Linked DNA regions of Struthio camelus. The protein of the gene in region 1 interacts with the protein of each later gene in a pairwise test. Links are inferred from orthologs where the notes say so. Each region holds a gene or a part of one and is shown in the gene's direction. Other genes may lie near its edges.

What was found.
Region 2: the proteins of PSMF1 (region 1) and FBXO7 interact in binary tests that used the Homo sapiens proteins (3 or more experiments, as listed by UniProt). The link is inferred for Struthio camelus from reciprocal best matches to the Homo sapiens genes PSMF1 and FBXO7.
Region 3: the proteins of PSMF1 (region 1) and BEND7 interact in a two-hybrid assay, tested with the Homo sapiens proteins (2 studies listed by BioGRID and IntAct). The two-hybrid records come from large-scale screens. The link is inferred for Struthio camelus from reciprocal best matches to the Homo sapiens genes PSMF1 and BEND7.
Region 4: the proteins of PSMF1 (region 1) and KHDRBS3 interact in a two-hybrid assay, tested with the Homo sapiens proteins (2 studies listed by BioGRID and IntAct). The link is inferred for Struthio camelus from reciprocal best matches to the Homo sapiens genes PSMF1 and KHDRBS3.

What each region holds. Positions count from the first base shown.
Region 1 is NC_090959.1:18,290,818-18,297,906, reverse strand, and holds the start of PSMF1 (proteasome inhibitor PI31 subunit), read left to right. Parts: upstream 1-4,006; 5' UTR 4,007-4,082; coding exon 4,083-4,211; intron 4,212-6,329; coding exon 6,330-6,482; intron 6,483-7,089. UniProt on the Homo sapiens protein: Plays an important role in control of proteasome function. Inhibits the hydrolysis of protein and peptide substrates by the 20S proteasome. Also inhibits the activation of the proteasome by the proteasome regulatory proteins PA700 and PA28.
Region 2 is NC_090942.1:61,036,910-61,044,745, reverse strand, and holds the start of FBXO7 (F-box only protein 7), read left to right. Parts: upstream 1-4,790; 5' UTR 4,791-5,104; coding exon 5,105-5,268; intron 5,269-5,871; coding exon 5,872-6,172; intron 6,173-7,836. UniProt on the Homo sapiens protein: Substrate recognition component of a SCF (SKP1-CUL1-F-box protein) E3 ubiquitin-protein ligase complex which mediates the ubiquitination and subsequent proteasomal degradation of target proteins and plays a role in several biological processes such as cell cycle, cell proliferation, or maintenance of chromosome stability.
Region 3 is NC_090942.1:7,978,860-7,986,574, reverse strand, and holds the start of BEND7 (BEN domain-containing protein 7), read left to right. Parts: upstream 1-4,478; 5' UTR 4,479-4,716; coding exon 4,717-4,777; intron 4,778-7,715.
Region 4 is NC_090943.1:165,592,742-165,600,758, forward strand, and holds the start of KHDRBS3 (KH domain-containing, RNA-binding, signal transduction-associated protein 3), read left to right. Parts: upstream 1-4,945; 5' UTR 4,946-5,343; coding exon 5,344-5,431; intron 5,432-8,017. UniProt on the Homo sapiens protein: RNA-binding protein that plays a role in the regulation of alternative splicing and influences mRNA splice site selection and exon inclusion. Binds preferentially to the 5'-[AU]UAAA-3' motif in vitro.

The sequences.
Region 1 (7,089 bases):
TTGTGTACAAACTCCTGTGCCCTGTCTTCTCACTCAGGGACCGCTATTTCCTAGAATTTGCAGTTCCTAATTATTCGCACACTCGTGGACCTTCCAGCAGGCGAGGGTGAATCCCCGCTAACCACTCCAGCTGTGCCCAGGCGGGTCTCTAGCTTGCATGGTGCATTTTCAGTTCTGTGATAAGATGGGCCAGGATTGAGGATCAGCTTTCTGGAGGAAAGACTCATGATTTCCGCCTCAGGAGAGGACACTCGAACGAAGCCACCAGGAGTCGGGGGGGGGGCGGGGGGCATCTGGTACACCACTCGGCACACAGGGGAAGGCTGTGCCTGAAAAGAGAAATGTGGATGCCATTAAAGCCTGCAAACCACCACTGCTGCCCATCAGAAATGAGCCACGGGATGGGCGGACGGAAATTCTGCCTGTTGTGAATCACGAGCCCAGTACTGGAAAGGCTCCGGCTCAGGCATTTCCTGCCATTATCATTGAACCCTGATCAGATGCTTCTTTTACTAAGCAGACATCTCCGTAGGCTACATTGCCCAAGCCACCCCACGGGAGGGCTTTCGCCCTGTCCAACGCGCGGGGGAGCCCCGAGTCCCCCGCCAGCCCTGCGCCCAGTGAGACCTGCTCCACCTCGCTGGCATCTCTGCGGCTATTTGCACCGGCCCTGGCTCTGCACCTATCCAAGTGCTGTCTGGGTGCCCATCTCCCATTGAGGCCACCGAGGTCTCGGGACAGGTTGCCCTCCGTCCCCTCGTCGCACCAGCGATCCTGACCCAGCGGTTTCCCAAGCGGAGCGGGAGCCTCCCGGCATCGCCTCCTTCCTGCCGCACCTTCCCCGGCAGCGGTGCCCGGCGAGGGGCTGCGGGGCTGACGGCCGTGCCACGTCCCCAGGCTGTACGCAGCCTACTGCTGCGGGACTCCCGCCCACCTTCCCACCCAAGAAACACGGCATGTTGGCCACGCTCCGCTGCCTGCTTACACACGAGCAAAGAAGCTACCAGGAAGGTCTGGAGTCCTGCACACATGCGATGAAACCCGGGCCCTGTTGAAATCAGTGGCAACTTTCCTACTGATTTCCACACGAGCAGAATTTCACACTTGGCTCCCAAGCCCTGTCCCTCTTCCGCGGAGCCAGCACTGACGGGTGAGATTAGCAAGAGGTGTAATGTTTCCGCAGCCACCGGGGAGATGACTCATGTGAAGGGCAACGCTCAAGGAGCTCCTTGCGAGGAAGGCCCTACGGTCTGCGGTCAATTGTTCTGCTTCAATGACTTCTTGAGAGGGAAATGGAAAGAGTGGCCTGTGCGTTAATTAATAAATGCATAATGAAGTCAAGATGAGTCAGAGCATCCCAAAGGAGTTGGAGCTCAGCTGCTGCTCAGCAGCAGATCACGGCTTTCCCCAGCACTGGGCTGCTTCATCCAAGGGATTGCTCCAGCCTCACATCCTGCCACTGGCATCGATAGGGTCCCAGCAGTGGTGGCAGCTCCTGGCCTCATGCTGGGCAGAGGAGCCACAGAGAAAACCGCCTCGGATCCACAATCAGTTCAGAAAAAATAAGTCCCTGACTACGTTTCAATGGCAACTTTAACAAGAACTGAAGTGTTGTAAATAACGTGGCCCAGAGAGAGGAGCTGGGGAAGGAATGGAAATAACCCTGGTAATAGCAGTTCAGCCTTTTGTTCCCCCCGGGACAGGTGCCTCAGGGAAGCCGGAGCAAACACCAAATATAAGAGGGCATTTGAATGCATACGGCACTATTCTTTTGTCTTTTTCTTAACTTTCCAGCAAATGCTTTGGTCACGGGCTGACGCTTGGTTAGGAAGAGCCTGGGCTGCAGGAAAGCACGGGGAAGCAGGCAGATCTCAACCAAGCGAGACTCCCAGGCGCACGGCTGGAACGCGAGGCCGCTTTGGAGACCCCGCGACCACGCTGCACAGCCAAGCTGGGGTGATGGCACGGGGAAATTACTGAGCGAGCCCTTCCACATACGCAGTCTCCAGATCCGCAGCCACAAGGGAGCAAGTGTGCACGCAGATGAGTCCCACACATACAGATTTTTCTTGTACATGAAGAAGTACTAAATGTCTCAGAATAAAAAAACAAGCCTTGTGATGTCAAAGAGGGAACGCATCAGCCCCGGGCTGCAGATAACCCCAATTCACTGGAGCGGAAGGACTGGAGCTGCATCGCCGGTCATATCCTGGCAGGTCACTAGAAAACCTGATGCGGCAGCAATATTATATTCTTCCCTGCGTTGCAGGTGGAACACGATGTCCCTCCCAGCCCCGGCAGATACGGCCCGCCCTGCCCTCGGCTGGGTGGTTACATTTTCTTTCAAGAAACTCTTTGGTTCCCCTTTAACGCTCCGAGGAGACGAGGGAAAACAGGTCAATCCTGCACAGCAGAAACCAGTGGCAAGGAAAGGCGCCGAGAAAAATAAATCGTATCAAACGATGTGCCGCCGGCGGAGCTACCGAGGGAGGACGTCGGAGCAGCCCCGCGGAGCGGCAGGTAAAGGATGCCGAAGGGGTTTCTGCGCCAACGGGCAGGTAGCAAGAGAGACGTGGGGGACGGACGGGAGTTATCAGACGGGCCCCGCGGCGAGGCTCTGGCAGGGATCCGCGCGCTGCCGGCCCCGCGGCGGCCACGGCAGGAAGCCCCACGTAACGCCCGGTTGGGAAACCGGCCCCGACGCGGGCCGCCCCGGGGACGGGACGGGACGGGACGGGGGGAGCCCGGCCCCTCGGGGGGCAGCAGGCTCCCCAGCGCTGCCGACGGCCGGAGCCACCCGAGGTTTTGCGCGAGGGACGAGGGCCCTCTAGCGAGTGCGCGTCTCCCCGCCGGAGCGACGGCTGCTCCCGGGGGGCCCCGAAAGGCTGTGCCGAGGCCGGGGCGCCCCGAGCTCCCCGCAGGCGCCCGTGCGGGGCTCCATCCGGGGGCTGCCCCCCCCCCCACCCGCACTGGGGAGCTTCTGTGGCCCCCGCCCCAACGCCGGGACCTGGCTGGGGGGGGGGGGCTGCCGGCTGCCCCCCCCCAACTGCGGGGGGCCAGGCCACGGGCTGGGCACCCACAGTCCAGCCCCAAAGCCTGGCCCCACACCTGACCCGGGAGCCCACAGCCTGGCCCCAAAACTGAGCCCAACCCCACACCCCAGCTCAGCCCTACAGCATAGCCCCACAAGTAAGCCTAGACCCCACAGCCCAGCCTGGCCCCCCCGGCCCAGCTCGGCCCCACAGCCCAGCCTGGCCCTACAGTCCAGCCCCCCAGCCCAGCCCAGCCCCTCGGCCCAGCTCAGCCCCATAGCCAAGCCTGGCCCAGCCTGGCCGCACAGCCCAGCCTAGCCCCATAGCGCAGCCTGGCCCCACAGCCCAGCCTCCTGGCCCAGCTCAGCCCCACAGCCCAGCCTGGCCCCACAGCCCAGCCCCACAGCCCAGCCCAGCCCAGCCCCATGGCCAAACTCAGCCCCACAGCCCCGGCCTGGCCCCACAGCCCAGCCCCCTGGCCCAGCCCAGCCCCATGGCCAAACTCAGCCCCACAGCCCCGGCCTGGCCCCACAGCCCAGCCCCCTGGCCCAGCCCAGCCCCATGGCCAAACTCAGCCCCACAGCCCCGGCCTGGCCCCACAGCCCAGCCCCCTGGCCCAGCTCAGCCCCATGGCCAAACTCAGCCCCATAGCCCAGCCCCCTGGCCCAGCCCGGCCCCCCAGGCCCAGCCCCTAGGCCTCGTCCGGCCCCATAGTGTAGCCCAGCCCGGCCCCCCAGCCCGGCCCCTCGGCCCCGCCTGGCCCCATAGCGCAGCGCAGCCCGGCCCCCCAGGCCCGGGCCCCCGCCCCCGTCTGACCCCATAGCGCAGCCCGGCCCCTCGGCCCCGTCCGGGCCCACAGCGCAGCGCAGCGCAGCCCGGCCCCTCGGCCCCGCCTGGCCCCATAGCGCGGCCCGGCCCGGCCCCTCGGCCCCGCCTGGCCCCATAGCGCGGCCCGGCCCGGCCCCCCGGGCTCCCCGCTGCTGGCCCCGCCCCGCCCGGCCGGGCCGGTCGCTGCCGCGGGCCCGGCGGCTGCTGGCTGCGGGCGGCGCCATGGCCGGGCTGGAGCCGCTCTACGCCTGGGCGCGGGCCGCCATCTCCCGCCCGCAGGACGCGCTGCTCTGCGGCATCCACTGGGAGCTGGTGCGGCACGGCTACCGCTGCCTCGGCGCCGGCGACCAGGTACCGCCCGGCCCGGCCCGGCCCGGCCCGGCCCGGCCGCCGCGCAGGCCCCGCCGGCCCCGGCCTTTCCCAGCGCCGCTCGCCGCCGCCGCGCCCGGGGCCTGCCGGGGCCTGCGCCGCCCTGCGCGGCCGCGGGCCGTCCGGGGGGGGGGTCCCGCTGGTCCGGGGGGGGGTCCCGCTGGTCCGGGGGGGGGCCTAGTGCTGGAGGGGGGGCCCGGTGTGGGGAGAGACCCGATCCTCGAGGGACCCGGTGCTGGGGGGGATCTCGGTGATCGGGGGGGGGTTGGACCCGGTGCTGGGGGGGATCTCGGTGCTCGGGGGGGGGGGTCCCGGTGCTGGGGGGGGGGTTGGACCCGGTGCTGGGGGGGATCTCGGTGCTCGGGGGGGGGGTCCCGGTGCTGGGGGGGGGGGTTGGACCCGGTGCTGGTGGGGATCTCGGTGCTCAGGGGGGGTCCCGGTGCTAGGGGGGGGGGTTGGACCCGGTGCTGGGGGGGGGTCCCGGTGCTGGGGGGGGTTGGACCCGGTGCTGGGGGGGATCTCGGTGCTCGGGGGCGGGGGGGTCCCGGTGCTCGGGGGGGGGGTCCCGGTGCTGGGGGGGGGTTGGACCCGGTGCTGGGGGGGGGTCTCGGTGCTCGGGGGGGGGGTCTCGGTGCTGGGGGGGGTTGGACCCGGTGCTGGGGGGGATCTCGGTGCTCGGGGGGGGGGTCCCGGTGCTGGGGGGGGTTGGACCCGGTGCTGGGGGGGATCTCGGTGCTCGGGGGGGGGGTCCCAGTGCTGTGGGGGGGTTGGACCCGGTGCTGGGGGGGATCTCGGTGCTCGGGGGGGGTCTCGGTGCTGGGGGGGGGGTTGGACCCGGTGCTGGGGGGGATCTCGGTGCTCCGGGGGAGGGTCCCGGTGTTAGGGGGGGAGGGGGTGGACCCGGTGCTGGGGGGGGGGGGTCCCGGTGCTGGGGGGGGGTTGGACCCGGTGCTGGGGGGGATCTCGGTGCTCGAGGGGGGGGGTCCCGGTGCCGGGGAGGGTTGGACCTGGTGCTGGCGGGGATCTCGGTGCTCCGCAGGGGGGGTCCCGGTGCTCGGGGGGGCATCCCGGTGGTCCGAGGTGGGGGTCCCAGTGCTGGAGGGAGGGCCCGGTGTGGAGAGAGACCCGATGCTCCCGGGTCCCGATGCTCCCGGGCGGGGGGGTCTAGGTGTTGGGGGAGGGCCCGGTGTTCGTAGGGTCCCGGTGCTGCGGGGGGATCCCGGTGATCGGAGGGACCCAGTGCTGAAGGGGGGGCTCTAGTGCTGGGGGGAGTCCTGGTGTGCAGAGAGACCCAGTGCTGGGGGGATCCTGGTGCTGGGGGAGTCCCCACGCTCGGGAGGTGCTCGAGGGTCCTGGTGCTCGGGGGGGATCCCAGTGCTTGGGGGGTCCCCATGCTCGGGAGGAGCTCCTGGTGCTGGGGGGGGTCCTGGTGCTGGGGGGGGGTCCCGGTGTGCAGAGAGACCTGGTGCTCGAGGGTCCTGGTGCTCGGGGTGGAGGGGTCTCCAGTGCTGGAGGTTCCTGGTGCTGGGGGGGAGGTCCTGGTGCTGGGGGGGTCCCAGTGCAGTGCTCCCAAGAGGAGTCTGCAGTGCGGTGGGGTCTCTGGGTTGGGGGGCTGGTGTGGTGCTGGGAGGGGGGGGTCCAAGCCCCTGACTGGTGCGGGACTGGGGATAGGCAGTGGTTGGGGTGCAGGGTGCTGTCCCAGCCAAGAAACACCTGGGTGCTGGGGAGGGGGCAGCCCGCAGCAATGCCCCCCGGCAGTGACCGCCCTGGGGCTGGCACAAACGGGGCAACAGTTCCCTGGGCAGCTCTGTCCCACGCTGGGGGGGGCCGAGAGGTGTTGGTCAGCGAAGAACATCGTCCCCTCCTCTGCGTCTTCCTAGCTGGCAAAGGGTGGTTGTGTCCCTCCCGTTGCAGCCCAGGGGTCCCGTGGGGCAGTTGGGCCCTGCTCCTGCTGTCGAACTCTGGAAGGCAGGGACAGATCCCTGCAGGAGATGTGGATCTCCTCCCAGATCTCTCCACACAGCCAGGACAAGTTTTCTTGGCCCTGCAGCAATTTGGTCTGGTGGTCAGGGTCTCAGCAGCCTATCTGTCTTCCTGTAGCCAGGTCCCGATGAAAGGAAGTCAGAATTGCTGCCAACCGGCTGGCAGGCCAACAAGGAGCTGTACACACTGCGGTACAAGTCCACGGATGATTCCCGTGAGCTGCTGCTGAAGGCGATCATGGTGGAAGACAGCATGATCCTCAATGTCATGGTGAGCATCAGGGCTGGTCCTTGCCGGCATTGTGGCCCTCCAGGTGCAGCGGTCACGTTCATCCAAAATGCCCTGGGTGCAAAGAACAGCAGGGCCCATTTTTAAAATGTTTTGCTTCTACTTGTTAGACCTTGAAGCAGCATTTGTTCCTCATTTGTCCCGACTGTGGAGTTTGCATGGGGCAGACTCTGGCTGTAAAGCAATAAGTTATAGCCTGCAAACCTGCCCGTGCGGTAGCACATGTGACTGCATCAGCACAGGGAGGCGGTTTGCTTTGCACGCTCTGGCCCAGTAGCTGCCCCTTTTGTGTCCCTTTATCAGGTCAGGATGTATTTCTAGATCGTTTGCCCTGTCCCCACTGAGCATCTGCCCAGGGATTCTTTGCCTTGTGCCATGGCCCCAGGCTGCACCACAGGATTTCTGTCTTTGACCCTTTACGGCCCAGACTGGGGTAGCCAGTAGGGAGAGCCTGGCTGGCACTGGAGTTTGTGCGCTCTGGGGAATTCAGGCACTGCACAGTGATGTGGGCAGAAAGCAGGCGAGCCCCGTTGCTTGTGCATCCCGAGACCTTGCCTGCGGTCACACCTGCTCCCTCCTTCATTCCTGG
Region 2 (7,836 bases), on another chromosome or scaffold:
ATCAGAACTGTGATGTCTCACCATGAACTTTGGATTGCGGCATCTTCAGTTCCATCTGAAGGAAGAGTCATAGAAATGCACACAATTGCGAGACCCTCTGCAGAAACAGGAGAAGCCCTGGGAGCGGGTCTCGCTACTGAGTCCAAACAAGGTACGTCAGAAGTGTTTGTAGGCACAGGAAAGAGAACAGGGCTGTCAATGGCCGCGCTGCCTACTCCTACTATGAAAAAGTAGACTGCAATCTCTGAATAAATCCAGGAAAATATGGTGGTGGCCAAAAAAGGCCTGAAGCAGTATGAAAAGGCCCAGAAAACCCACTGAAAGGTCCCTTGCTCCCATTTGAACAAGTACTTTCATGAGAAGTAGATTAAAGCAGTCAAGAGCTATGTGAACAAGATCCACAGACTGCATAAGGGCCCTATGTAGGCCGCTGATCTGAGATGCTTGTAAAGCACACCTCCACCAAATGTGTTAGTTATAGACCAATAGCATGAAGGGCTTTAAAATGCCTTTTAGGAGTGAAGTTGTCCACTATCAAGCTGCGAGAAGCTAAGAGGTCCTTTCCACTGGCTTTGATTTGAATGTCCTCCAGTGGCACGCTCAAAATGGTACTTCAGACTATCGCACTTCTGTGACATGAGATCACAAATTTCCCGACAATGCTCCAGTCTCCAGCCCCTTCTCTTGCTCATTTTACCACTTCTCAGTGTGACCCTAGTCACTCAAAATATCAGTATCAAAAGAGTTAATATACATACACATATATGTACTTAATATATATGTATTATAAAACAAGATCTTTACAGTGGCAAATACAGAAAGAAAAACAATGGAAAAAATCCACTGGCTCACAGCCTTATTACTGTACTCAGCTTTCAGAAAAAAAATATGTTCCATGAGGTAAGTAATTGAACCAAAAGGACCTTTACTTTTTATAGTTTTACCCTGCCATGGGAAGTTGACTGCAGGTCAACAGGACTACAGCTGTATCAGGTTTCAAATTTCTCAAGTAAAACCTTAACATTATTGCTAACGGTGCAGTTTTACCACTTAGGTGGAAGGGGTTCTATTGCCTGTGTTTTATACTGACCATGTGAAAAAAAACCCTGAGTAAAAAATGTTGAGTTGAGGAAACATATTATACTTAACAACCATTTTGTGTTACTTCAAGTTGCATACGAATGCTGAAAATAACTTTCTTTTTCTATCACATTGTTTTTTTAGTCTAATTTGTTAAAGAAGAATATACAATCATCATATCTGACACTGGCATACCATGCTGAAAGTCAAAATTCTGCATACAACCATTTCTTCAAGCTTGTAAGAACACAAGTTCCTTGTGCTACCTTGGTACAATGACTTTCCTAGCCTGAGGTCAAGCTCATACTTGGCCATACTCTCTCTTGCCTACAGAAAGAGACAAAACTCAAAAAGGTGGAGAAAATAACACCAACTATCAGCTCTTTCAGATAGATGTGGGAGGAAAAAGAAAGCAGTACTTCTGACTCCCTCAAACTGTAATTTTTGGTTTAGCTTAAATTATTTTTTTATTTCAGTCAACTTGAAATCAATCCCAATCAAAAGCCTTTTTGTGGCCTTTTGAGGCTGCGAGGAGGAGTCTGAAACATTGTCAATAGTTTCACTCCATCAGTCAAACCTCAGAAGCAGAGATTGGCAGGTTGTACTTGCACCTTGATGATGGTGGTTCTAGGTCAGCTGAATTTGGCACAGACAAACATTAAAGCTGTACAGCATGTTTTAGGCTTTTACCATAATTGTTTCTTAGGAGATTTTCCTGTTTAATACTGCTGTGTGAAGAGTAGGTCTGAACCTTGCATTGTGGCATGACTCATGAAATTCAAAAAAACATTTAGCAAAATGCCAGCAAAAGTGCTCACTTGCAAATGGTGTAGCTGGTTACCTAATAATGAATAGCATGGCCGGAGCCTGAGGAATTGAACCTTCTTACTTCACACAACTACCTTAGCTTGTGCAAGCTACTTAAATGGTGCTTCTGCTGGAAACATCGCAACGGTACTCATCAACGTTTCTCAGACTAGGGGAGTCCCCTCCTCCCTTCCTAAAGGAGAACGTGGACTGAGCAGCCCTGGGGCCAATGGGAACGCAGGAGGTGGCTGGGACAGAGACAACGCTAAAGAGCAAAACACAGCAGGAGGCCTGTGGCCACTGGGAAGCTGTCCCACTGTTCAGGCACCAGCATGACTCATTTTGGATGCAGCCCTCTCCAAGAGAGAGGAATGCAGTTTCTGGCAGGCATGGTGCTCTTGACTGCTCCCCAAATATTCTCTTCATTTCTATCTTCTTTGTCCCTGCCTTTGCCACTTCCTTCTAGTCACACACCCCTCTGCCACAGCAACCCACCCTTCCGGCATCTGTCCACAGTGTGGCCCCATTTGATGACTATTGCATAAGTAGTTCTCAAATTGGGGCTGTCATAAAAGGGTCAGTAAGCCCCTCATGAAACAACTTGTTTTAATGTTCTCATTAAAGGACCAGGTGTGCAAGACAAGGTTGAGCACAAGCACCAGTTCTTTCATTGTTGACTGAATGGTATTTTTCCATTTCCGTAAAGTGCCTTTGTCATTCCTTTTGTCTTCTTCTTCCATACGCCCTCTCCTTTCCCCTGAGAAGTTTAAGATATTGAAAACAGATGATGGTTGCCCAAATATGCCCATAGGTGTATTTGACACCAAACTCTGAAGTGAAATGCAACAGCCACATTTACCTCAGTTGAATGACCATGTTCAGATGACAGAAGAACTAGCCTGAGATTTCAACCATAGCCCAGAACAGGTTTTGTGAAGTTTCATTCTCCTGTTTGCACCTGTCCCCAGAAGGACTAAAACAAGAGAGAGAGGCCTTTCCTATGAATACTGGAGATATGCAATGTAAATAGCACCAGAATAAGCAGCTGTACTTGGTGGCAGCTGTACAGACTGTTTCAAATTCACTTCACCTAGCACTACTCTTTTATTATACTCCTACAGAGTATTCTAGGCTTGCTATACCTCATTCATATTTTCCTCTCTCCATGTAAGGAACGTATCTTCATAAATGGATGCCCTGTTTCTGCTCTCAACAGGCCTAAGATTTCTTCGTGTTCATAACTGCATCTGAAGGGAAAAAACAAAAAACAAAACCACCAAAAAACAAGATAACTTTTGTACACAGATTATCTCTGAACTCACACTGAAGGGATTTGTTCTCCTTAAAGGATTAATATAAGTCATTAAACAAAGTAAACAACTTGAATAATCTGTGCCCACCTTTTACATTTTTCCTACCAGACTTTCTGAAAAAAGTATTTTTTTAGATAAAAGCAGAAGTTTATTTTTTACATCTAAGGCGTGGAGGGAGGCCTTTTTTGAGTAGCACTGACTATGAAAGTAGAATAGAACATTAGAAAAGTTTGCTGTACTTTGTATTTTTGCTAAGGACATAGCAACATTTGACTACAGGTCTAATACATTACCTCTACGATGACAGTTCACCAGTGTACCTTGGGGGGAGGGGGGGAAGAGTCATACTCAGTGCCCTCCCTCAGCCTTTCCCCTAGATCATCTGTTTCCATGAGCTTTGCCTGCACAGAGTTTAATACCCAAACAGGAACAGGCTCCTTAATACCTTTTTAGAATGATATCTAAAAGGGCCTCAAAATTGGAGGCGAGGCAAAACCGAACTACTCAGCACACAGGCAGGCAACCAATCTGCAGAAATCATTCCCGTTACTCCTTCCAGGCGGGGAAGGGGATAACCTTGGAATAACAACAGAGAAGCAACCCAAAACAACAGTACCACCAGAGGTCCCCTCACCTCCCCCCCCCCCCCGAAGGCGGAAAAAAGAGAGGAGGAAGGGCGGGTACATCCGCGTCGGCGCATGCGCAGCAGGCACAGCCCGAGCGCCCAATCACCGATGGCGTCGCGCAGGCACAGCGTGGAAGCCTGAGGCATCGATCGGCCGCGCTGCTCTTGGGTGCGCGATTGCGGGGGGGGGGGGGGAGGGGCGGCGCAACTCGGGCCCGCCGGGGCGGGGCGGCTCCGCGCTGGGGCGGCGCCGCGCCAACCAAAACAACGACACGCCCCGGCAGCCCTTGCGCCCGCTGCCACCATCACCGCCGCCCGGCGGGGCCAGCTCGGAGCGCCAGGCGGGCGCGGAGACCCGCCGCCGCCATCATCATGAAGCTTCGCGTCCGCCTGCAGAAGCGGACGGCGCCGCTGGAGGTGCAGGGGGCGGAGCCAACGCTGGGGGAGCTGCGCGCGCAGCTGCGCCAGGCCGTGCTGCCCGCCTGGGGGTACAGGTAACGTGCGGAGCGAACCATCGCCGAAGGGAGGGGAAGGGAAGGGAAGGGGGGGGCTGGCGGGGCCGTACCACGCGGCGCGGGGGGAGGGGGGAAGAGAGAGGGAGGGGAAGGGCCCCGGCGAGCGGCGGCGCTGCTGCCCCCTGTGGGCGGCGGGAGCGGGACGCCGGGCCGGGCCGGGCGGCGGGACCGGCCGGTGCTGCGTAACCGGCTCCGTCGCGAGTGCCGGGTTTGGGAGGGCTGTGTGGGGAGACCCCGCTGGGCCTCGCTAGGGCAGGAGCCGGCGGGGGAGGGCGGCGCAGCGGCGTCGCCTGAACGTTGCCGGGGGGTGGGGGGGCGTGAGGTTAAAGGCCTGCAGCTCCGGGGGTTTTAGTCACTTCGCGAGACCGTGTCGAAGGCTGCTAAAGCTCACAGAGCACTTGGTAAAAGTCACTGCCCTCCTTCGGGCACACCTTCCAGCTGCGTTTTCCCCGGGTAGCACAGGGCTGGTAGGGCTGGTAGGTCACGGAAACTTCAGTTACGTTTCGGTTGCCGAGCGTTAACGGTCGCTCCGGCACGCGCAGCGCGCTTCGGCCCGTGCCCGCCCTTGAAACGCGGGGCGCAGCTCGGCCGGAGCTGGCTTGTATTGCTCGGTGGCGCTGATGTTACAAAGAGTTGCGGCTGGATGTCTGTTTTACAGTTTTGTGGCTTTCTTAGAGGCTCTCTGGGTTTAGACTTCATAAAAGGTTTTTTACGTGTGAAGAACTCATGACAACGTTTATAGGAGGATAAAACCTGTTAAGGTAATGGAAGAGCTGCCTACAGAAGAAACTCCTTTTCTAGTAGCGTGGAAACAGTTTGTAGTCACAAATCTGTCACCGGGTATGAGGATGAAACTCATGTTTCATTGGCAGTACGTACATTCGATGGCACTGCACTGTACAGCATACCACCGTAGGCTGGAGTTATTGTACGTCCTGCCGTGCTGGGTATATTTTTGTAGTTGGTACTTGATAACGGTTTTCATGCTAACCACGTTCATGTTTATTTTATTTTTTTGTAATTGCTTGCGCTGAAGCAGCTTTTCTTACTGCCCACATCTGTAATTGCCATGCTGGAGGGCAGCTGCTGACCTTTTGAAGCAAATGTTTTGTTAATCGGAAAGCAAGGTGATTTGAATCTGCAATAGTGTCCTGTTTTTAAGTGATCTGAGTCAGTGGTTTATTTAACACTTGTTTTATTAGGTTGAATATGTTTAATTTGGAAGGCACCTGTTTGCTTTCCTTCATATCTGTTTTATGAGCGGTTATTGCAGATGAAGTTATACCCACTAAGCAACTTCAGTTATTTAAAACACGCTTGGAGAGAAAAATGAGGGAATCACTTCATAGCATAACCCTTAGTTTTTCCCTGCTCTTCCTTTAAGTGTATAGCTAATTTTTAATGGATTAAAACCTGTGGAACAGTACTTAAGCAGTATGCAATATACATTTCTAATTCTACATTTCAATACCTGTGTTCAGTTACCCAGATGCAGCTAACCACACTTTATTTCTTTTCCATTACTTTCCAGTTATGACGCGCAGTTTTCAATAACACTGAACAACAAGGATGCTCTCACAGAAGACCAGAAGACCTTGGCTTCATATGGGATTGTTTCTGGTGATTTGATATGTTTATTACTAGAAGAAGCAGATGCAAAACCCAGCCTACCTCCTCCCTCATCTTCTACTCCTCCGCCACTCCAGAATGGTCATGAACCGTCCGCCTTGATCCCCAACAAAAGTCAGGCCAGCAGCCCAAAAGAAGAAAGGCAGAATGGGCTACCTGACAGCCAGAAGGCTCAGGCAGAAGTTCAAAAAAGTGATGATATGGTAAGTCTGAGAATTTGACCTGTACGACACAGGACAAGAAAGGAGGTATCTTACTGTGTCGGTTGCTGTACTTCATAGTAGAGAACCTTTTCAGAATATTTGATTCTTAATGTTTGCCTGAAGTATAGGTGGTTGGTTGGCTGTAAATTTGTCTCTCTTTTTTTTTTTTTTAGCTATGCCATAGAAGTTAATTCAGCAGCTCTGAGATGTTTCAGATTTGACACTTTTACAGGACTGTATGTTTTTGCTGGAACATGCACTTTTCTTAAGGAAGTTAGGAATATGTCTCTTGCCTACCTCAGTGCTGTCTTCTTGAGAAAACTGATTCTAGATACCAAATAAGTACAGCCTGTCTGAAATTCCACTCACTAGATAAGTGCATGATTCCTTTCTAATAGTTATTACAGTTCCCTGTGAGTCAGGGGCCTATCGTAGAGCAAGAGACCTGTCTGGTTCTGCATGAAGTTTGGGTTGCTGAAATAGCTCCCACCTCATGCTTCACAGATATACATCTGTGTGACCCCGCGTTCCTGGTGCAGCTGAAAGGCACATCTTTTGGATGCTTTGTTAAGATTTTTCCTGTTTGACAACAGACACAGTAGTTAAGCAGATAATAGCTCTTACCAACTACTGGAAGGAGTTAGTCTAGGAAGGAGTCTTTCTAGAGGAGACTCTGTGGGTACAGCCTAGTGCCATGGCGTATCTTGGTACAGGATCCTGTCCTTTTAGGGAGGAGCTTGCGACTCTGAGAAGTTGTTTTCCTGCATTCTTTGGAAGCAAGTAGTTCTGTGTTTTGGAACTAATTTCATATACAAAATATCCCTTAGTACAACCTTTATATGAGGAATTTTGATATGTATACTTTTAAAAATACTCTTTTGAAGTATGAAAATAAAATATAAAGTGAAAAGAATTGTCAGTCGTGAAAGAGAACGTAGTGGGACCATCGTCCTCTTCATTCCTATCAGGAGAAATAGCCCTCACATGGTGCTGTAGGCAGGCAAGCTGCTTGTGTCTGCCAATTGGACCATATTAAACTGTGCAGGAATTTGTTGTGCGTTTATCTAATTATTTGGAGGCAAGATGAAAAATTCTCAGGTTTTATTCCAAAATTGTGATGAAAGATAGCAGAAAAATTTCCAAGCAACTAAGTGGTATTTAAAAAAAAAAACCCTCTAGAAATCTGAAAAACTGTGTTGGGGCTACGTGCAATGCTGATAATGAGAGAAGGGAAGTTCCACAGATGGTTGGCTACACCGGCCTCATACAGACATGAGGGTGCATTGTGCCATTGAGGGTGGATGTGAGGGAGAAGTAGCTACAGCTCCTTTAGCTTCTTCCTCCCTTTCCTGCCCCTTCCTTCAGGTAGATCCGCCCATGGTTTTAATTTGCTAGGGTTTTTTGTTTTTTTTTTAGTGTGGGTCTAAGTAGTTTAATGGGAACGTGTAACAATAGAGTAAATTACGTAATAATATGATGTGATTTTTGGTAGAAGAAAGGAAGCCATAATAAAGTCACCATCGTCTTCAAGTCTCAGTAAATACTCTTTTGATTTTTTTTTTCCAGCTATTTAAATCTATTCTGTTCATAAGGAATCTGAGTTACAATTTTTGGTACTTGCCACGCGTGTTGGCTCAGCTTAAATAAATGGTGGTACCACAGTG
Region 3 (7,715 bases), on another chromosome or scaffold:
TATATTCTTTATTGTTGAAACAGCTATGGGAAGTTTTGATGAGTAACCCTGAGCTGGAAAACAGATGAAAACATTGATCCATCCTGTAGCTTTTTCTTTTCAGTTTATATGAGGAAGGTTAACAAACCAGCAGAACAGGCGGAAGAGGCCATTTCAAGTTTCCCAAAGGAAAAAGAAAGAAAGGATAGAGGTGTAACAGGGTGTCAAGTGCTGTGACTGGAATGGAAGGACTCAAGGAAGAACTTAAGGAAGACCAGAAAACAAGTTAAACTGCACGTCTAAGCTTCAGACTACTTCGTAACGCCCAGAACCCTACCTCTGTAATGAGCCAGTCCCCAGATATGTCAGCATGAAAGCTCTACGAAAAGGAAAGTTTGCAGTAAGACAGTATGGCATCAAAGTGACCTATCATCAAATTGGGAGCCGACAAAAGGTACTGCCTATGTATTTTGTGTGACCACAAAAACACCATGGGAAACCTACAAGAGAAAAAATTGTTACCACAGCTTATAAAACCCTCAGCTACATTCATTAAACATAACTAGCCGAAATAGCTAACATATTAACCCATCACCTATGCAACTCTTGATCTCTCCTTTACCCCTTCACCCTTCTCCTGCTTTCTAATACCACACAGAACTCCTTCAACCTCCAAAATGAGTAGTAATCCTAGAGCTATTAATATGACAGTTGGTAGCCCCTTCTTGCTTCTCCTAACCTCACGTGGATTCCTTGACGTATTAGACCTAATACCTGAAATCACGAAGTTTGTAAGACTTCTTTAAGTACAGTTTTTCCAATTGAAAGCTGAAGAAGTTCATAATTCCCCCATACCATTCTTCTCAGCTCTAGGATTCGTCCCTCTTGTTTGTCCTACACTATCCTACCTTCCTAATAACAATTAAAATATTGTAACTAACTCAACCCAGCCATTTTGAGGATAAGCCTGGGAGCAAAGAAAAGGAGTCTGAGACTTCCTGATGTGAAGAGCACTGTTCTCATTAATACTTGTAATTTGCTTGTATTACTAGATTAATTATATTTAATTGTTTAGCTACTGATCTAGCACCTGAAATAAACTAAGCATTTTACACACCAGAAAATTATCTGAGAAATTAATGTTGGTTAGAAGCAGGGGGGAAATGATTTTCAAAGTAACTTATGACATAATAAAACAGTAACTAGAAAATAGTCAGGGATAATCATGCAGACTTGGAATATATTGCAAGATAAGGCGTCCATTTAGTTAGTTAATTTCATGGTGTTTTGAAAAACACATTATTTAATTAATGTTTTCATTGAGGGAATACTTTGTGGCTATTCATGAATATATACAAAATGCTGTGAATTTTCCATGTTTCCATCAGAAAAAAAAAAAAGGAACTGTCGTTTCTTAATATATAATAATAATAACAATCCAATATTGAGACATTAACTGAAATAAAAGACGAAATTAAAAGCTGACTGCCCTTTGGAGCCAGTGTACTTTATCATAAGTCATTTGGCTGCCACGGAGACGTAGCTATTGAATATGCAGGATGAAACAAGGCAGCCATTCTAATGGAATAAAGACGACTTTTATCTCTGGGTCTCCAGCTAGAATAATGTGATGGTGGCCTGTGATAAACGAGCAGATGATATGAGTCCAGTTGTAGGACACTAACCCCAACGCACCCCCAAAAAGAGGCTCGCAACTTACTGTCTCTGGGGACTATATGAACCTTTGAATTCTTGAAGTACTTTTTCTAAGTCATGGCTGAAAAACATTAGCAGTTCAGGATGGAAAGGTTGTTTTTCAGCTGCCAGATCCTCCTACATGCTCTATGGATAACTAGAAGACTTTGACCTAAAGTCACCTTGTCCTAGTTTCTAATTCACTTTTATGCAGATGAGATTACAGGATCAGGGCCTAGGTATCCAAACTGGCAAATACTGTCAGAAATGAAAATCACAGGATTTACTCATCTGAGCTACCACACTAAGTTTTCTTTGCAGGATCAGGCTCATCCTATAGAATGAAAAGAGTGAATCTCTCTCTTTTGTCAAATGCACAAGAAGCAAAATGAGCGATACTGATAAAAAAAGGATGTGCTAACCCTTGTAAAATGTTTCTTGAAACGACAGTATGTACTGTTTTCAGCCTGAAATGCCATTCTCAAACCATGAGTGTCCCTTTAAGCAAAAAATATACGACTAGGAAGGAAGAACTAAGAGAAAGAAGAGAGCAGTTAATGAAACACTGGCCTCACTTTTTTTTTTTTTCATAAATTATATCCCAAAATGTTTTACAAAATCAAATAACAGGAGGAAAACAGAAAAGATTTTTTTATTTTTGTAGCACATTTCTTTGGCAAATGCAGGATAAAGCCTATCATGTGAATTGAACAGTAAATGAAGGCCTTATGCTTTATAAAATTATCCTATTGTCCCAATAAGGATGACAGTTAAACACAACAGTTTCAGCAGTTTCAAGTCTCGTAAATAAAATTAGCAGATTAGAATCAGCAGACTCTTTGGCAAAAAAATGTAAATACTTTTTTTTGTACACAAAACTAATGCACGCTACTGTTGCATTTCAGACCTGACTTCTCTGTATCATAGCAGAGATTAACTGGACCCAAATAATTTAGCAAACAGTGTATGACATCTACCTACCTTTGCTGCTTCAGCAACCACCCAAAAATATATAATGTAGGATTTTAAATAGTATGTTAGCCCAGTTTCCTTATAAAAGTCTTACAGTGAAGTTTAGAAAAATTCCAAAAGTAGCGTATTGATTGCCTCTGGGATTTTCCACTCAGCAATTTAATAGAAAATTACACCCTTACCCAATCTATGAGGTTTCCATAACCTCCCTTATGAATTTAATTTTCCTGGGTCTAATAAATTTTACCATTAGGCATGTTTTCTGAGATCGCTTCACCATTAAGCCTATTTCCTGGTTGCTTTTTTGGAACCGGGTCTACTTTCTGCTGGGTGTTTGGGCACCACCTCGCCCAAGAGAATTCAGGTCTGACTGGAGTCTATATTGATACAAATAATTACTGTTAATAGGCAATTTATTTTCTACTTACGAATTTTATTTCCTTATTCCTAGCGATGGGCTCAGGCAGTAATACCAAAGCCAGCGGCATTTTCCTATGGGCTTTGATTAGACCATGTACAAATACGCACTTAACTTCTGTTCAAGTAAGCGCGTGCGGATATCCCACACTCTTCTCCTTGTCATAGCCCAGCCTGACTATGTTTAAAACACAAAGTTATGTTTGCACCTGAGCTTTAGGTTATCCGGAGCCTTCCTCTAGCAGCAACGGCCATAGGCGCTGCTGGCTGTAGAGAACCTACAACAGAAACAAATTTAGCACCAACGTAAGTGAAATAAGTGAATCTGAAATACAGCTGAAGGTGCCAAGCGGGGAGTAAAGTAAAGCACTAACTTCAAACCGCTTACGGGCGTCTGTACGGCCACGGTGGACCTCCTAGACGGTGGCCAGAGGTACTAAACGTTACTCGGTCAGCAGAGACTCCCCGCTTTAGGTCGGTGTTTAACCGCCTTGTGTGAAAGCTGCCCCCGGGAGGAGAGCCGCCCCGCGAGCCCCGGCCGGGGTCGGGGTCCGCTCCAGGTCCCCACGAGAGACCGTGCCAGGCCACGTCAGCCGGCACCGAGCTCGAACGACGACGCCGAAACGCCGTCACCGGCGTTCATTTCGCCGCCGCTTAGCCCCCTCCCCGGGCGCGCTCGGTTTGCGCCGCCAACTTGCGCGGCTCCGACTCCGGCTCCGGCTCTGCCCGCCCGAAGCGGCCCGTGCGGGAGGCCGGGGCGCAGCGGGGAGCCGGCGGGAGCCGCCGCCGCCGCCGCCTGGCCAGGCCGCGGGGGCCGGGCGGCGGCGCAGGCCGCGCGCCGAGAGGCCGCCGCTGCTTCGCGGCAGGGCGCCGCGGCGGCCTCCGCCGGCCCGAGGGGGCCCCGCGGGGCGGGCAGGCGACCTGCAGCCGCGGCGGCGGGGCACGGCAGAGGGAGCCTGTGAGGGCGGGGAGGCGGCGGCGGCGGCAGCGGCGGCGGGAGGGGGGGGGGACACAAAATGGCGCTGCCCTGGCAGCCCCTCTCCCGCCAGTCACCCTCCGCCACCCCCGCGGAGGCGCCGCGGGGCCGCCCGCCCTGCCCTGCTCGCCGGCGGGGGGGGGCCCCGCGGCGCTCGCCGCCGCTGTCTCCTCCTCGGCGTGGCGTGGCGTGGCGTGGGGTGGCGGCCTTGCGGCCGGGCTGGCGGAGCCCGCCGCGGGGCGCGCCGCCTTCCCCCAGCAGGTGGCACCGGGGTCCCGGCGGCAGCGGTGAGCCATTGCGGGCCGCCCTTGGCCGCCGGCCGCGCGCCCGGCGGCGGCGGGGGAGGCGGCGGCGGCGGCGGCGCTGGCCGGCATCGCCCCCGCCGCGGCACCCCGCGAAGTTCAGGGGCGGCCTGGGCGGGCGGGCGGGCGGCCGGAGCCGCGGGGAGGCAGCGGCGGCGCCGCCGCCGACTCGTCCCGAGCTCTTCCCCCCCCCCCCCCCCGCCGGTGCGTGCGGCTGGAACCGACATCTCCCGGCGCCCGTTTTGTTTTTTGCTGATTAAAGAGACGGACCTTGGTCCTGCTGCCGCCGCCGCTGGGTGACGGGCTGCGCGGCCGCCCCTCGCCCTCCTCATCCCCGCTCTCCTTCCTTTCTGCCTCCTCCCTCCTGCCCGCACCATGGAGTTTACGGAGAGGAAGAGAAGCAGGAAATCCCAAAGCTTTAAACTGATAAATCAAGGTAAAGTGGCGGCTTCGGGGACGAGCGCCGGGGGGCCCGCGGCGGAGCCTTTGTTTTGTTTGTTTGTGGCTGAAAAAGACTTTTTATATTTTTTTTTTTTTAACCTGAACGGCGCTGGGTTTCGGAGGGGAAGAGCAGGATGTTATGAAATGTGCGTGCTCCCTTCCCTCTCCCTCGGCAATGTCTCTCTCTCCCTCCGTTTATTTATTATTTAACTCCCGAATCGCGGGGTTGAACTCCCCAAAACCTTGCCTTTCTTTTTTTTTTTTTTTGGTGATTTTTTTTTTTAACCGCAACCCCAAAGGTGGACGTGGTGGTTTTTTTTTTTTTTTTCCTACCCCCCCCCCCGGGAGATCTTATACAAATAAAGTTGGATCGTATTTCATTATAAATCCTCCGGGGGGAGGAGGAGGCGGGGGGGGAGAGGAGAGGGAGAAGAGAAAGGCGAAATGAAGAAAACAGCAAAATAATGACACTTGAGCAGCGACGGACCTTTTTAGTATTCAACTCCTGTGGATTTCTTGCGCGTGTGTGTGTGTGTCTGTTGATTTTTCTTTTCCTTTTTTTTCCCCCCCCCTCTCTCTCTCCCACCCTCCTCTGGACTGCGTCCGCACGCCTATCTCAAAGAAGAGCCTAATCGGGGTGGCTTTATTAAAATCCACGCGGCTAATTAATTGTCCGTGGGCGAGGAAGGTTTGCTGGCGTGCAACTTGTTCGCTCGGTGCGCGGCGGCTGGGCGAGAAGAGGATGTTTTAGCGGGGATCGCTAAGGAAAGGTTGGGATTCATGTCGGGGAGGACGCGCAGCCCTCTCAGTCGTGTCCTTTTAAAAGAGGCAGCGGCTGGTAGTCATTTTAGCAGGTGGACTTCCCAGCCCTAGGGTTTTCCTTTTCCCCCCCCCCCTTTTTTTTTCGGGGGGGGGGAGGTTAGGTATTTATCGCTTAGGTCTTTTGCCCTCATTGATTTGCCTGAAGATCTTTTCCCTCCCTCCCCCCCCTTTTGTCTTTTAAAGTATTGAGCTGAAATATCTCCCATGAAATGCTGTGTGTGTCCTGCATGCCAAGTTCAAGGCAGGTGACTACTTTGGTGTCATGTCACACTTATAAAAGGGGGGGGGGAAGGAGGCGAGTTTCGATACTTGCTGGCCGAGGAGCGATTTCTTCCTTAGGTGTTCGGCAAGCTCGCGTGAGACGCGGAGAATTCGAAAGACGAAAATAAACTCGCTTGATGGGAATGACAAATTATTATTTTAACATTGTAGGAGAGTCTTGAGCACTGCATGCGTTACTTCTTAGAAACTAGAGGGATAGCAACTGGTCAGACACGTCCCAAATCTACTGGAGTGCTTATAAGCACAAATGTTGACAAACCTATTGGGGGGGGGGGGGGTTACATTCCTAAAAATAATAGGTTTGGTTTGGAGGGTGTTTTTTATTTTTTTTTTCGTTTTTTTCTTATTTGTTTGTTTGCTTGCTTGTTTGTTTTGGGTTTTTTTTTGCATCAGATGTTCTCCTGAATCACCTTCAATGCAGACTTTGTGCAGCGTTGGGCTGGAGCAGGGGGAAATGTGTGGAAAAGCAAAAGTGAAATTGAAGATTTGGTTTTGTTTTCGTCATGATCGGACTGTAATAAGAACAGCGTGCGCTCTGAAAAATGTATTGGTATTTTGCAAGTGCTCCGTTGCCACTTGTAACGGTATAGTTACCTTGTTATAAAAGGGAAATTGGTTGGAATTGTGTTAGTAAATTATTAGTAATTTATATTTTTCTGGGGTTTCTATTTGGCTGTAGAAATTTAAATAGAAAAGCAGACCAAAAGCAAATCCTGGAGAGCAAATGTGGGTTTTGTACTTTGAGAATGGAGAAGATAAAAATGACATTTTAGCAGAGTCTGCTCTTGCATAGTTTTTTTCCTGCCGTGGTTGATTATAAAGATAATTATGTATAAATAGTTGTTGCTTGTAATTGGCCTTTGCCTCTTGCTGGAGTCATTTAGTAATGTCACAGTTTAGTGTTTACTGTTGTGAAATTGAGATGGATTTCACAGCCCCTGGACTGTGACATCTGAGGCAGAAGAGGGAAACCAAAGAGAAAACAGTATGCTGGGTTTGTTTATTTGTAACACACGGTCTGCTACTGATGTGTGTGAATACAGTGCTTGTTCTGTCCCCCAAAACTTCATGACACCTTATCAACACGGTGAAATTATTTTAACTACGATATACAAAGGAAATCCATTGCTTCAGTAAAATGTAGCTAACTCTGGGATGAAATGGGGTGACTTTAAGATAGCAGTTACAGATCAGAAAATAAGGGTGTTGTGACCTGCTGGATATACAGAGGGAAATGTTAGAGAAGAAACCACACATAAGCAATGCATCTAAGCACCGAGAATCTGTTAGTCGTTTAGTACCTAGCTTCCACATACTCACTTCTACCAGATCTTGGAAGTCCTTACTGAGGATGAAAAGGTAGAGAAAAGCTAGCGATCATTCAATGTGGTGTGCATAAATTCTGTAATTTTTAGTCTTACAAAAGGGGCTTATACTTTCTTGATGTTGTGTCTCAACCTTCACCTTGGCCCTTTCTGCACCGGGCAGCCTATGGATTTCACTTGCCCTCTGTGCTCCATGCAGCACTGAAGCCCCAACTTTATCTTTTGGGCTAGCCCCTCGTTGCTGACCTCTCTACCTTCCCCCCCCCCCTTTTTTTTTTCCATACACAACGATGTTGCTTTCCAGGCCCTTTTATTTCTTTTGCGTTGCTGCGTTATACTTGACTCTGGTTTTCTTCTTGGGCTGTTCTTCCTCCCCACTCTTATATCAACGAGACAGTCATGCCGTACAAATAAATAATACGTACCCAAAAAGTTGGACTGCCAGGAGACCTCTACAATTCTGCAGCTGATCGTTTTATCAGAGATGCAGGTGTGTTTCCCATG
Region 4 (8,017 bases), on another chromosome or scaffold:
CTCCTCCTTCTTGCCCTTTTTGAAGACTGGCGTGACATTGGCTTTCTTCCAGTCCTCAGGCACCTCTCCTGATCTCCAGGACCTTTCCAAGATGATGGAGAGTGGCCTAGCGATAACATCCGCCAGCTCCCTCAGCACTCGTGGGTGCATCCCATCGGGGCCCATGGATTTATGGATGTCAGTTTGGAAATACCAGAAGAACTCCTAGGAATTAGTTGTTGTTAATGTTATTCTAGTATACTGAAACTACAAAAAGGGCTGTGGCAAAATCCTAATGACAACAGGCAAAAGATACAAGAAAGATGCAATCTAAAACTCAGTCACAGTTAATAGAAAACTGTTTGTAAGTGATTCATGTTGGTTGCATCTAAGAAGAGAGAAGTAGCAAACTCTCTCCAGAGTTAGTGGTTAAAGCAATTAAAAAAATTTCTTCCTATAAGAGCTGAAAATCATAATGAAGATGATGACTAAGACTGGCAGAAATCTAGAGTAATTGGGAAGGGAAGAAAGAACATGATACTGGCATCACAGTTTGGATGATATCACGGATGATGTTTTTCACAACATGAAAAACTGTCATTTACTTATTCTACTGTAGTAGTTTAGATCTGCCACAGCAACACACTATAGGTTGATACTTAATAGGCAGAAGCTAGAGTAGCTCTTGAATAATATGAAGTTATGCTTATTAGAAAGGAGCTGTGGATACTATGAATTTTGTTTTTTTCGTTACTGATAGAGCCGCACAGGAACAGTTGAAACTCACGAGAAAACGTTGTGGAACAATCTTGATAAACCTTTGCCTTCTTCAGCACTGACTTTATAATGTGATATACAAAAGCACAACTTAAAAGAAGCATATGATCCTCACAAAAAAAAAAAAACAAAAAAAAACAAGCAACCAATCAACAACTTGCTTGGCATATCTTCTGCACAATACCATGGAAAAAGGTGCAAAAGAAGTGGAAGACTTGGATGAACAGGTGCATGTGACACTATGGCATGTTACAGTGGCTATAAATAAGGTGGCAATGAGTTTAAGTGTCTGAAAGAATGTTCTTTTTTCTACCTGTATTAGCCTAATACATGATATTTTCTTCCTGCAAACCTTGTTCTCTCAGAAATAAATATTTCTCTTAGAAATACATTTAAAGAAATAAAAAAAAATAAATTTAAAGAAAGGGTGAATGAAATATGAAAGCAATGTAAGAAATCTTTTAAAAGAAATGGCATCAGCATGGCTGCTACTGGAACAATATTCATTTGGGGATGAAAATAGCCTTAACTTTGAACTATGGGGCAAATGCTTGTAAAAGAAAAAGCCATGCTATTTGGAAGAAAGCATCAGGAGCTTCTGAAAAAGGATGCCTGGACATAACGGAAAACTCTTGACTATTTCTTCATACTTTAACACACGTGCAAATAAAAAAAAAAAGAAAAAAAGAAAAAGGTCAGGAATAACAGCGAAAGAAGAGCAATGATAATTTCAATATGCCTAATAGAAATTGGCAAGTGATATATTGGAATACTAAGGAAGCCAGCATCTACTTAGCAACATGCTAATCAGAACTATGGTGAGTCACATCAAGGACACATTCACTAGATGTGGTATTTGTGACAAACTCTTTCCCAAAATAGACTCGGCTTCTATAGGTCTTCAGCTGTATGCATTTTAATGAGCCAAAGTCTCAGATAAATAACTGTTCTGTTTCTCTTATAGTCTTTAAATTGAGACCAAGTAAATCGGAGGTAAAAAAACACAATAAACCCCTGCAGAGTCTAAATGGTCAGTGGCAGCTCGGTATGATCAATGAACACAGGCCACAGCAAATAAAAGCGTGAGCTGAGAGTAAGTTTGGAAAAACAATACTTAGGTGTAGTTACAGTATTAGGAACAAAGACTTTATGACTAAATACTGCTTATAATGCTGCCCCAGCAAATAAGGAAAATAGAATTGCCAAAAGTTATGGAGAACCTCCTACCTACCAGAGGGAAGGTGCAGCTCAGTTACAGCCTCTTCAAGCAGTCTTCAGCTGTCCCCTTACTTGTGTCAACCGGTCCAGGAAGTAAGGAGGTTAAATCTCACCCCAGAGAGTGAAGGTATGAAAAGGTCTTAAAACTTCTATTAAATATTAAATGTTTCTAAATATTAAATAATTAAATAATTCCAAATGTTAATTTTGGTCCTGGTGCTTTAAGAGAAGTAATGGACATTACAACTCACAGTGGTTCCTAACTGATATCTACCTACTGAAATAAATTCCTGAAAATAGCATGTGTGTATTAGCAACAGAGTGCACGTGTGCGTAAAAAACAACAAACTAGTTTATTGCTAGGGAGTAAGTCATGAGTTTTGAAAGTTTGGACTCATGGCTCTTAAAATTGTGTTACTAGTAAAGCTACTATTTACTGGGCAGTTCCTTGATCAAGCAACTTTTTCAAGTTTTGTATAGATTTCGCTAACAAGAAAGCAACCAATCCTTAAAGAGTTGGTGCTTCCTGCTTTTCCTGGACAGCAACGACGATGCTTAGTGGACTTTTCCCAGATCACCACACCATAGGCAGCTTTCTACAGCCTGTTGCTCACAATTTCCCATTTTTTCTGTTCATTTCTTGTTTTATTATATCCCAGTGAATTTCAATGGAGAAAATACTCTACTAGTTAAGTGCAGGCATGGGTTTGAGCAATAGGATATAACGTCCATAACTTTGTAATTGCTACATTATTATATATCTGGTGAGAAATGAGTCTTCCAGACTTCCAGTAAGCCTTTCTATATCTATACTTTCTATATAAATCAGAGGGAACTGGTATACTTTGGGAAGAAATACTGTGGTTTCTTGAAACAGCAAATGTTTATTCAATCAGTTACCAGGGAGAATAAATCTTTTTGCAAGAAAGGTGCATTATGTTTTATACCATATAATATAGCTACCTTTCTGATTGAGTTCCTGTATGCTGTAGAGGGACTTTAAATACCTTTTTAGCTTTACTGGTGAAGGTAGGGATTATTTTCCTCCAGGTCACTCAATAAAGATTAGCCTCCTACACATTGTTCTGTGGTAAAGTTGTATGTGTCTGACTTTTTCACAACAGATGGCTGCATTTCAGTAGTTGTGTATAAGCTGTATAAGGAAGGATGAAATAAAACCTGCATTGTAATCCAACTTTTCCCAGTAGCTTGTTTTATTCATATCCTCAAGTTTGATGTCACGCAGGAGAACTTAAAAAAATGTAAATTTGTTTGTGGTTATTAGTGCTGGGACAGATATATTTGGAGGGGTTGTATATGGAATGTAAATCAATTATTTCATATTGCAACATAACAGATATTGTTTTATATTTTTTATCTTTCTGTTTTATGGGTAAAAGACCGCATGCAGTTCTGGGAAGGGAGCCTTAACTTTGCTTGTTAAGTTCTGAGTGAGTGATTTCTCATGCCAGTCTTTTTTCAGAGCTTTTCTCCTCCCCATCTTGCATGGATGTAACTGAGATATATTGAAAACTTTTTTGGCATTAAGTATAATAATAAATATGACATTATTTTATTACCACAAGTTAAGAATCTTTTTAGTGGTCTTTTAACTGTACCTCATCACTGGAGAGTTCCCTATTGATTTCTCCAATAAACGTTGATTAAAAACGTTACTCTAGCCTTACGATTTTGGCTTTAGCGCTTTACTAATTTTCTGTCTCTCCCTCGGGCTTTTGTCACCAAGGGTTCATTGATGAAACTCCTGAGGTCAAATAAGGAAGCTGTGCAAAGCCTCGAAGCTAAAGCTGAACGTGAGTAATGATCTAATATACTAAGTGTATCCTCTGAAAAATATCTAGGAAAAAAAAAACGCTTGAGCACAATCCCGAGCTTTGCTTCTCCTACCTGTAAAACGGGCTGTTTGCAGCCAGCGTGGCGGCAGCGGAGAGGGCGCGGGCGGGGGAGCGGGTTTCACACCCAGCAGGGCTCGCGGGAAACGGCAGCTCCTCCAGCTCCATCAGGTTGCCACTTCGCAAACCCGCTTCGCGGTGGTCATAACTGAGCAGAAATAAGATTATTTGGCTCATACTTATGAAGTGCTTTATACTACCAGAGAGGAAAGGACAAAATACTGGCTCAATAGTGATTTCGGGGGGGGGGGGGGGGAGAGTTAAAACAGGCTGTTGTTTCTCCTTTGGGAACAAATCTTCCCCCCGGGGCCTCCCCCCCCCCCCCCCGGTAGGTGGTACGGGGGCACAGCCCGGCCGCGGCCTTGCTGCCCCAGCTCGGGGGGCGGCCCGGAGGGGGGGGGGGGGGGAGAAGGCACAAGGTCCCCGCCGCTTTGTCCCTTCGCCTCGTTGCTCACCCGCAGACGGCGGCGGACGAGCGCCCACAGACGCCGAAACGAGTTCGCCGTTATCAGGTTGCATGTTTTATTCATCGGCGGCGCGCGGTTTTAACGGACGCTGCGGGAGGGGCACAGCGCCGGCCCTTCTCTCGGGGGAAGAGGGGGGAAGGAGATGAGCGGCTGAGAGGGTCATGAAAGCGCGCAGCTTTAATGAGAGAGCCCTGCCCTGCGGTCGGCCCGTCCTCGCTGCGTCCCCTCAGGGCACCGCCGCCCCGGCCGCTGCTCGTGAGGCGACGCCGCTCGCAGCCCGCGCGGCGCGACCGCCCCCCCTTCCCCCAACACCCGCGGGGGGGGGGGGAGAGCGAAGCGCACCCACCAATCCCAATCTGCGGTGGGCCGCTGACTGACAACCCAAATCACCCAATAGGAGGCGCCGGCTGAGTAGGCGGGGCCATTAGCGAAGGAGGCTGGGCCAGCACCACCCATTGGGAGGGGCTGGAGGGCGGGGGCAGTGGGGCAGGGGAGGGGGCGGGGCTTAACAGGCAGGAGGGCGGGGCTGAAGGGCGGCAAGGGGGCGGGGCTTGTCCTGGGGTATATAAACCTGGCGCCGAGGGGTTCGCCCGTTCAGTCGGCGCGGCGCCGCGGTGTGAGCGGTTTGTCGGCTGGCTGCTTTTTTTTTTTTTTTTTTTCCCCCCCCTCGTTCTTCCCCTTTTTCTTCTGAGCGCGCGTGTGAGGGGGAGGAGGGGCTGAGCGGCTTTCGGGGCCCCGTTGTGCCTCCGCGGAGGGATTTACCCGCGGCCGGAGCGAAGGGGGAGGAGGGTTGGAGGTGGGGGGCGTCCCCCGGCCTGCGCCCCCATCGCCTGCCCGCTCTGGGCCGGGGGCTGGCGGCGCTTCCCTCTGGCTGCGTCCCCGCCGCGGCGGGCGGGAGGCGGCCGGGGGGGAGCGTTGCCTCGAAGGATTTATCGCCGCTTGGGACCCGGCCCCGCGTCGCTGCCGGCTGCCCCGTTGGGTTCGCCGCCATGGACGAGAAGTACCTGCCCGAGCTGATGGCGGAGAAGGACTCCCTCGACCCGTCCTTCACCCACGCGCTGCGCCTCGTCAGCCAAGGTGAGCGCGGGGGAGGGGGGGGCGCCCGCCCTTCGCCTCCCCTCCCCCCCGCCGCCCCTCAGGGGGCCGCGCGCGGGCTGCGCCCCGCTCCCCCCCCCCCCCACGCGCGGAGCCTCCGCGGAGCCGCTCGCCCTCGGGCAGGGGTTTTGGAGCGGCGGAGTGCGGGGCTTAGTGGCGGCGGTTCGCTTTGTACCACCTGGCTCTCTTCCCCCCTCCTCCCCCCCCCCGCTTTGTTTTTTCTTCTTTTTCACTTTTTTCTTTCTTTTTTTTTTTTTTTTGCGGGGCGCTGGCGCCGCGCGAGGGGCAGCGCATCTCGCGTGACCCGGAGCGTTGCCTTTATGGAGGGAGGAGGCTTCGCGGGCTGCTGCTCCGGCAGAAGGAGCACCTCGCCCCTGCCCGCCCGCCTGCAAGCGGTGGGAAATGTAGCACTGAAGCCTCCCGCATCTCCAGCCTTCCCGTGCTGCTTGAAAGGTTGCTTTTACGCTAGCAAACGCGTGGTTTTCACTGAAACTGTCCCAAATTGGGTGGTTGCATGTGGAGAATTGCTTTAGTCCTCTGCACTAGGCTATTCATTCTCCCACCCTGCTCCATTTTCTCCTATTCATAAGACTTTTCCCCTCCCTAAAATGTTTCTGGGTAGATCGATATTGTTTGTAAGCAATAGATTATTGTTTCTATATGCCTCAATATTTTTTTTTTTGAAAGGAGTTTGCAGACTAAGCCTTTTCCTAGAAACTTGTGACCCTAATATATTAAGGAATCAAAACCACATCTTGCTGAATCTTTTCAATACCTAACACATGTTTGCTTTGCGATTATAAAACTTCATATATTCAGAAATGATTTCTCTGCATCCCCCCCAAGATATTTCACTTTGAAACGTTTGATGTATCGTTTCACTGAAGTACTAGCTCTTTGTTTAAATGACACTTTACTGGATATAAAACTCGTTTCCTGTGATTCACGTGATGTGGCTTAATGTAAATTTGGTGCATTGTATGGAAGACAGGTGACTTTGGAATGCAAGTCTTCTATGAAATCAAACACTTGAGACACTTTGGAACAGTCAAATAAAACAAGTTATGAACTGATCCTGTAACTTAAAATGACAGCCCCGATGACTCTGGCTTCTATTACTTGGAGTGATTGCAAAGCTGCGCTAGTGAACTTTACTTCATAATAGCTTAGAGCTGTTCCAGTTGTGCGATTTCTTTGCCTTGATTGACATAGCTTTTTGTGTAATGGACTACAAAATGTCAATCTCAATCTGAGGGAGAGTCGACTGTTTTCTGAAATATTCTGTGTTTGCAGGTAGCTGTCAGTTTTAGCTGTGAAATGCATGTGCCTGGTGGTCTGTAGCTGCATGTCCTTGGACTTGGTATTCTGCATATTTTTCCCTAACTTACCAGTCTTAAGCAATGGATTGGTTTTAAAAAAAAAAAGAAAACCCATTGTTCATACTGGCATTTTTGACAGAGTGGCACTATTGATAGTGTTGGAGGGGAAGTATTAGCAAGTAGTTTTGTGTTGTGTGCTGTAAATAAACTTGTTTAACATTTTTAGCTTGATGGCTGAGATTTTTATGGTTATAAATTAGTGAAGTTCCTCCGCAAATAGTGAAGGAAGGATTATTTTAGATTTCTGTGTGTGTAAATTATTTTAAGGAAGTTACAAAAGCATGTGAATTCTTATTTTACAGTTAGTCTTTATGAAAGAGTATGCATGATTGTACATCTAATGTTTCTTGGGACTCTGATAGCTTTTTGGAGTACATTGAAACAAGTGATATTAGAGGGCAGAAATATAAAACTTCTGGCTTTTTCTAAAATCATGTAATACTTGGTGTCTTAATGTATACTTTCAGCTCCAAAAATAAGTGGTGCATTCAGTGAAAAAAATATAGACAAATACATGGATGCAACCTTGTTGTTCTAGTGTCTGGATTTTTTGCTTGCTTTGAAAGTGCAGTCTTATGTTAAGATCTGATTTGAGTATTACAGCTATTAGGGACAAGTAACTAAAAGTAAAGCTCAGTAGTCTGTTACCTGTAGTATACAATGCAGATTTGTGTAGTCCTTGTGTATAACTGTGTTAGACAGTTGTGCAGTCACCAGGGAGCCAAATGAGGTGAGACATCTGTATAATAAAGTAGGAAATGTAACACTTAAAAAAACCCCGTGTTTTACAAACCCATCTCATTCCATCATGACACTAACTTTAGAAGTGTCTGGTTCATTATTTTGCTGTAATTGTAAGTAACTATTATTAGGAATGCAACTGTAACTACTGACTTGTACTTTTTAAGTCGGATCCCCCCCCCCCCCCAAGTGTTCTCTCCCCTTTCTAGAGTAGTTCATATGAAATGACTGGTATAATATTTTTAAGTTAAAGTTGCGTTAATTTTTCAGTTTAGAATGGAATGGGTGTTTTTTTCAATTTTGTCTTCACCCAGGTATTTGTGCGAATGTCTTTACAACAGGTTTTAAGTGCTTAAAATAACCAGCTTAATTATGTAATAGTTTTTTGACTTCTGGCTGTCTTAATAGTATTACACTTATTGTTTACATTTACTTTAACTGAAATACT